2 linked regions of the Mus musculus genome follow. The protein of the gene in region 2 interacts with the protein of the main gene of each other region in a biochemical or structural test. Links are inferred from orthologs where the notes say so. Each region holds a gene or a part of one and is shown on either strand. Other genes may lie near its edges.

The links. The genes of interacting proteins can lie anywhere in the genome.
Region 1: the proteins of Myo6 (region 2) and Tax1bp1 form a complex in vitro, tested with the Homo sapiens proteins (5 studies listed by BioGRID, with this or other methods). The link is inferred for Mus musculus from reciprocal best matches to the Homo sapiens genes MYO6 and TAX1BP1.

Annotation. Positions count from the first base shown.
Region 1 is NC_000072.6:52,712,417-52,716,166, reverse strand, and holds the start of Tax1bp1 (tax1-binding protein 1 homolog), read right to left. Parts: upstream 2,439-3,750; 5' UTR 2,312-2,438; intron 2,003-2,311; exon of another isoform or gene 1,538-2,002; intron 1-1,537.
Region 2 is NC_000075.6:80,163,895-80,167,644, reverse strand, and holds the start of Myo6 (unconventional myosin-VI), read right to left. Parts: upstream 2,612-3,750; 5' UTR 2,416-2,611; intron 1-2,415. UniProt on the Homo sapiens protein: Myosins are actin-based motor molecules with ATPase activity. Unconventional myosins serve in intracellular movements. Myosin 6 is a reverse-direction motor protein that moves towards the minus-end of actin filaments.

The DNA.
Region 1 (3,750 bases), on a different chromosome or scaffold from region 2:
CAGCTCCCAAGCGCTATAATCCCAGCTGATAAAATATCAGATCCAATTTAACTTAATTTTTGTATCTTTTAAAATACGTTCATTTGTAAAACACTGTTCTTGGCCCACAAGTATTAGAAGATAGAACTTTGTAATTTCTATTAAGGCTTATTTAGAACAATGTAAACTTTAGAGCTACAAGTGCAGAAAGCCCAAAGTTTACATACTAACAATCAGTCCAAAGAAAATACACCAACAAGCTTCACAGGTGAAGCAGGGCTTGGTTGAAAACACCTTAACATCAGCACTCAGAAAACAGGCAGAAGCCAGCCTGGTTTCCATGCAGAGCTCCAGGACAGCCAGGGCTACAACATAGTTAAGACCCAGCCAATAAATAAGTAAAAATAAAATTTACAGGTAAGTTAATTCTTCCAAGGAAATATAAATATATAGTTAGAACTGCATATAAAAACTTTAGCATCCGGCTGGCGAGATGGTTCAGCAGGTAAGAGCATTGACTGCTCTTCCGAAGGTCCTGAGTTCAAATCCCAGCAGCCAATCACCCATAATGAGATCCGATGCTCTCTTCTGGTGTGTCTGAAGACAGCTACAGTGTACTTATTTATAATAATAAATAAATGTTTGGGCCGGAGCGAGCAGAGGTCCTAAATTCAATACCCAACAACCCCATGAAGGCTCACAACCATCTGTACAGCTACAGTGTGTGTGTATTAAAATAAAATAAATAAATCTTTTTTTAAAAACCAACTTAGCATCCTAGGGGATGGAGCGCTGACTCAGTAATTAAGAGCACTTACTGCTCTTACAGAGGACCTAAGTTGGGTTCACAGCACCTACATGGTGGTTCACACCATCTATCACTCTAGTTCCAGGAGATCTGACATCCTCTTCTGACTTAAGTCAGATATAACCAGGCATAAAATGCAAGCAAAACACTCATACGCATAAGTCTAAATTTTTTTAAAAACAGCATCCTTTAAAGGTTACAATTTATAATTCCAAGATGTTATTTTTGTCCTAGAAAAGGTACTCAATGGTTACATTTCACATACATTTCACATACACGACTGTGATTCTAAGAGCAAATGGTATGCAGCTAATGTAATAACTTGAAAACAAATAATACAATACAACTGTATTTGAAATTTAACAAATAACAAAGACGAGGGGGAGGAGGTTAACCAGTCATTCCTAGCATAGTCAAATATATTCTTGCAGAAATCTAAGATAAGTTCAGGGCGTTTGCCTAACATTCGAAAGGGACATACAGAAATCCAATTTACCCCTGAGAAGAATAGAATGGAGGCGAGTCCTTGGCCTCAGCTTCTTCTCCACACCTAGAGGGTAACCTGGAGATCACAAACCCACTTAATCAACCCACTTTTAAGGAATGTTATTCAAATAACCATTTTCGAATGTTTTGGGATTGAACACTAAAATTTTAATTATATTTGTTCGTGTCCTAATCATGAATTTTTACCACTTGGCAAAAAGCAGCATACTTGGCAGATACTTAGCATTAAAATGTCTAACATACCAACATAACGATAAAGCCGGAAATCTATCATAGTCAAACGCCACAACGTTTTCCAACAAAACTTTCAGGAACAAATTGTACTTCATATTTCTCAACAGGGAAATACAAGCGAACACCCCAGCTACGTTCTAACAGTACAGTTTTCGGGCGATGAGCGCTAGCCAGAACACGTCTTGCACCTTCCGCCGGGTCCAAAACACCGGGGAGAGTCAGCAGTGGGTGGAGCGAGGGAGGCGGAGTCGTGAAATCAAGTCCAGACGACCACAGAGCGAAGCGATCCTCCCCAAGATTTCTTAAAGCCTTCTCTTGGGCACCAGAGGGGGAGGGCTGCTTTCCAAACAGCAAGACTCAACTAATCTCTCAGCCCAGGAGAAGCCGGAGATCAAGCCAAGCCAGGTAAACAGCCAAACCAGGCGACACAGGGAGTCCCCGCCTCTTCCTCCAGCGGAGACTCAAACCAAAACAACCCAACGGGTCCTCCCCGGCTCGCCGCGGCCTAGCGCGCCCGCCACCCGTCCCTGGCTTGTTAGACGCCGGGGCCAGCCGGGGCCAGCCGCGGCCTAGCACGCCCGCTCCCGCCACGCTTCCCACTCTACGGTCACCCCAAGCCCAAAACACGTCACAATCGCGGCCCGGGGGAAGCTCGTCCTTGGGAAAGAGAGCTTCGTCACCACGGAGACCGTTCCCAAAACTCGCCAGGCCCGGGTTCCAGGGCCGAGACGGAGCGCGAGCGCCGGTTACCTCGAAAGCACGCGGCCCGTCCGCAAACCTTACCGGTCAGGGCCTCCGCCCCGCACGCTACGCCGCGCCCCGAACCTCCGCGGCCACCACCACTGCCTCTCAGCGTAGACCGGCTACACCTTCTCTAAGCGGAGAGCCGGCGGTGCGTCACTTCCGCCCCAGGGAGGCTCGCTTCCGCCTCTGCTGCTGCGCATGCTCTGCGGCGACACGCCCCACTCGCTAGCTGTAAAGAGTCCTTTAGTGGTTTCCCTGACAGCTTTTTCCTCTGTGGCTTTTGGTCAGTGATGTAGTCACCTCAAAACACAGTCCGTTTGAAACAAATTAACTGACTTACCAGCGAAATGGGAAGGATCGCTCAGAGGCCAGGTGACCTGGGTCTTAAATATCAGTCTAAGCTAATACATGTTTCAATATATACAGAAGCCCCAAGAACTGTCATAGCTATCACGAATTGAACCATCATATTCCCGTGTTGCTATGAAACTAATGACATTTACCGTATCACCAGCGAAGAAAGCATAACATTAAACAGAACAATAATATACAAAACTCTAATTTCAAGTTCTTTCATTTTCCACACAATTCAAGTCCACATTGGCCTCCATAAGACAGGTTCTTAATATTTGCTGATTCATTTGTTTCTTATATATTGAAATTTTTTAAGTTGGGTGTCTGTGTGTTTGCTTGTTTGTTTGTTTAAATAGGGATCTCTTCATTCTGGTCCTCCAAAAGGAAAAATTACTGTTGAGAGACATAGGCTGTTGAAGCAAAAGTTAAGTTCGGCATTGTGGGTTTTAAAGAAATATTTATGATTAAGACGGTAGTGTATTCATGAGATAAGTAATATTCCAACACAAGATATGATGGATTTGAATAAAATACACTTGCTTCCATGAAGTTCCAATTCAAACTGCACATTTAACAGAGAAAGGTAAGCTATATAAGGCAAAAGTAATTTTAGAAATTTAAATTATTTTCACTTCCATATCACGATCAACCAAGTCTTCCTTTTGAGGTATTTCTTCCTGTGCTGCTCTAGAAAACAACCACAAGGGAAAGCAGGTCACAAAACCACAATGTCTATAATAATATAATGAAATTGAGATCTTTTGCGTTTCAGACACTTCATTTTAGTGCAACTATAGGGGAAAATGCCCTGGAGAGAGAGAAAGAGAGAGTGAGAGAGAGATGAACAGACAGACATCTCAGGGCATTTAACCACAAAGGGGCATTCTGTTGGTCAGGAGACACAGCTACCAAAATGCAGGGCAGGGTTTTAGTTTTTAACTTCATACAGAACCTCCTTACTGAGATTACTCAAGACCCCATGATTGCTCTCATGGCTGGCTGTGAGTTAAGGCATTCTACTGCTCCAGGGTGAAGACATCCTGTTACTTTTTTAACTAATTGATTTATTCACTTTACATTCCAATATTACATCTCCTCCCAGTCCCCTCTGCAGCTCCACCCCT
Region 2 (3,750 bases):
TCTAGCTCATTTGAAGGACAAAAACCAAAGTTCCATCCTGACCAGAAACATCATATACTGCTCAGCTACAATGAAATCAATCCAGGATTAGATTGCAGTGTTAATTCCTATAAACCCATCAAAATGAAAAGCACATAATACTTAATACATGCTGGAACCACTCCAGACGTGATGCCAAAGCATTGGGTCACTGCTCAAGGCCTTGAGAAAGAAGACAGAATTCTCAGTTCGTTCTAGACTCCATGCATGGCCTATCACAGTTTACCTAGGGTACCGACTCCTAATCTCCAGATCAGGCCTACAAAGGGCTCTCAATAGTTCACCAAGTAAACCGAAATCAAGACAACTTCTGGGCAAAGGAGGAGAGAGGCTTTGTTGTCAGAGACTTCCATGTGTACTCAGAGTCTGGACTTTGCCCCTCCAAAGCTACAAGCAAGTATTCATTCTCTGAGCCTCTGTTTTCTCCTCTATAAAAGGAAAGGCTGTCAACCTGGAATATTATTTTGTAAATCAAACCTTTAGGGGTTTTTTTTGTGTGTCACATCACTACTAAATCGCCAGCTCATAAACTGTTAACAAAGTATCTCTTTCTGGGAATCACCATTATACTGTGTGAGATTTATTCAAATTGCAATGTGTTTTTCAAATTGCAATGTTTAAATAAGATGTTCTAATATAATATATATAATAATATAAATGAAACTCCAGTACCCAGGGCCTCACACACACACACACACACACACACACACACACACACACACACGCGCGCGCACACACACACACAAGGCAAGGTCTTTACCCACTGAGTTACACTCCCAATCCTGTACCCTAAGTGGAGTTTTGAATACCAAGAGAAAGTTAAAAACTAGAGAATGGTTTTTTATGTGGAGTTCTTATGGATTTATTCAGACCTTGCATGGTGGAAATCTTTAAAACCATCTAAAGGCCTTTCAAAACCCAGATACAGTCCAGTTGTCTAAACAATAAGTGATCCACCACAGACGCCAGGCAAAGTCACAACAGGATGAGCGAGGAGCCTTCGGCTTCTCTCCGATTTCCTGGCCACTGTTATTTTAAAATTTGATCGTGTAAACAAGGGAAAATCCCTTTCGGACAAGTCCCATGGACTATAATTTGCATCTTTGTTTTTAATATGTTGTAGCTTCTATGAAAAATCATAGTTGTTCACTTTTTCTTGCTCATGTGTCTAGGTACTAAAGACCATATGTAAAATCTATACTCCACGGCTTTTTAACTGTATAATCGCAATACTCTTTTCTTAAGGGTTGTATTCTGTCCCTGCCTTTTACAAGTAACTTTTGAAAACAAATACAAAACTTGAAAGGAAGAGGGAAAAAAATGGGTAACAGATCACACACACGAAATAAAAACACTACAGGCCGACGAGCATCAGACTAAAATGACTTCTATTTATCACTGTGCCTGTTTACTCCTGTGCAACTGCAAACACAGAAAATGGGCAGACATTTAAAAGTCAATGAGCTGTTCTGAAGAACTACATTGTTTCTGGGCTTCCTCTGTCCCCCTTGTAGCATTTGTGGCCATTTCTAAAATTAATGCTAGAGAGCACTAAGGTAATTTTTTTTTCACTAAACATTTCCCAGTTGGAAAACCACAAGCCAAGATGTCTTGAAGTCGAGTTAATTTGTACAGAAATGCTGCTGTTCCGCAGCCAACCTTTGGACCATGACCACCACCAAGCTCAAGACTCAGATTTTATGGTGTTACAGCCGAGCCTCAAAGGCTGTTAAAAGTCTCAAGCTGACTAACTATATTCGAAAATCCTGCAACTGTAACACGAGAGCAAACTAAAGTTTTATTCAACACATATGAAATCGGAGCAGCGTTTGTGTAGCGCTCCAGCAGTATCTCCACATTGGGATTTAAACAGCTCTGCCCTACATACTTTATGCCGGATAAAATGTATCTTTGTGTAAAAGTTCCTGACATAGATTATCTAAGAATGGCCTTATCAAATTATTTCCTATTTTAAAATACAATCCACAGCTAGCACGTTTTAATTAGTTTAAGACGATTTGGAATTAAATAACAAAGTTATTTTCAGCAACACATCCGTAAAACTCACACTCAAAATACTAGAACGCTTAGGAACTAAAATTCCAGCTTTATAGTATGCTACCATGGTCTTCTTCGACACAGCTAAATTATTAATGGTATCAATTGATCTTTACTCTGACAACAAACTAGACTGTGTAGCTTTTTCACTGTGTTTCGAAAGGAGAAAATAAAACTATCTTGCAGTGTCGGGTGGGACTCGTCAGGTGACAGGAGCCCCGCTGGCCCGGGAAGGGGAAGCCAGAGCTCCAGTCCGCGCCGGGCAGAGCAGAGGCCAAGGCGGTGAGGACAGGCAGGCGGGCAGGCGCCCACACTCACCCGGCGAGGCAGGTGCGCGAGGGGTCGCGGCCGTGGAGAGGCTGCCGGGCTGCGGGCGCGAAGGGCAAGCGCGACACCGCGGCCGAGAGCGAGCACCGGAGACGACAGCACGACGGCGGCCGGGATACGCTTCCTGCTGGGACAGATCCCGGATCGGTCTCCACCCGCCGGCCAGAGAGCCCTGCAGAGTGCCCAGCCTGCGCACGTCACTGCTACGGAGCGCCCAAGGGGGCGGGAGGCGGGGCCGGAGGCGGGATTTTGTGGGACCGGGGCGGGGCGGCTAAAGAAAGGGCGGGTCTTCATTGGCCAGTGGGCGGGAACAGCCTAAGGGGCGGGGTCTTGGGGCAGAAGGGCTGAGAGGGGCGGGGTCCTAGGCAGCAGGACAGGGAGGACTCGCAAAGCGTAGGGTCTTGGGAATGAAGGAGCAGAGGGACGTGGCCTCAAGTCAAGGAACGCCGGGGCGGCTGTGAAGGGGAGGCCTCAAGAGCTAGGGTTGAGAGGGGCGGGACCTCATGAGGCGCCGGGGAAGGGGGTGGTTGAAGGAGTGCTGGGTAGGGGCGTGGCCTAATGGCGTGGGGCAAGAGAAGGGCGGGGCCTCAGGTTCCGACCGCATCCCTGCATCCCTGCAAGCCAAGGGCTGCAGGTAGCCCCTCATGACATTCCCTACCTCGCAGTGGTAGTTGTTTCCACTGCCACAGCGAGGGACCACAGCAAAGAGTCAGTTGAAGAAAAGTTGAGAGTGGGACAGGCGAATTGCGGAGGAACTCGCTTGTGGGGATTAAGGGTGGCACCGCAGCCCATCTAGGCTCGTGCTCCTCACCTGCCTGCGTCAACTTCCTGTTCAGCCCTTGGAGGATTGAACCACGGAAGAAAATTTTTTCTTCTCTGGCTAGCCTCCCATGCAGATATCATATTTACTTCTTACAGCCCCTGTATTTCCACCTCGCCCCCTTTGTTGTTGTTTATCTGGACTCTTGAGAGAGTCTCGGTCTGTAACCAGGCAGTCCTGGAACTCATCATGTAGCCCGCGCAAGCCTAAGAATAGTGACAATCCTTGTGGGCTGGTTTTATAGAACTGAGCCAACTGGCCCGCTTTATCTTTCCGGTTGTTTAATTTTACTGTCCTTATAAGGTCATATGTGGGTCATCTTTTTAAATTAAATATTACATTCCTATGCAAATTTGAGAGCAAACATCTCCTTTACTAGAAAAAAGAGGTTAATATGAAAACAAAATAAGGGGCTGGCAAGATAGTTCAGCCAGTGAGGGTTCTTGCAGCCCATCCTGAAGCCCAGCATGTTTCAAGGAGAGAAACAACTCCTCATATTGTACTCT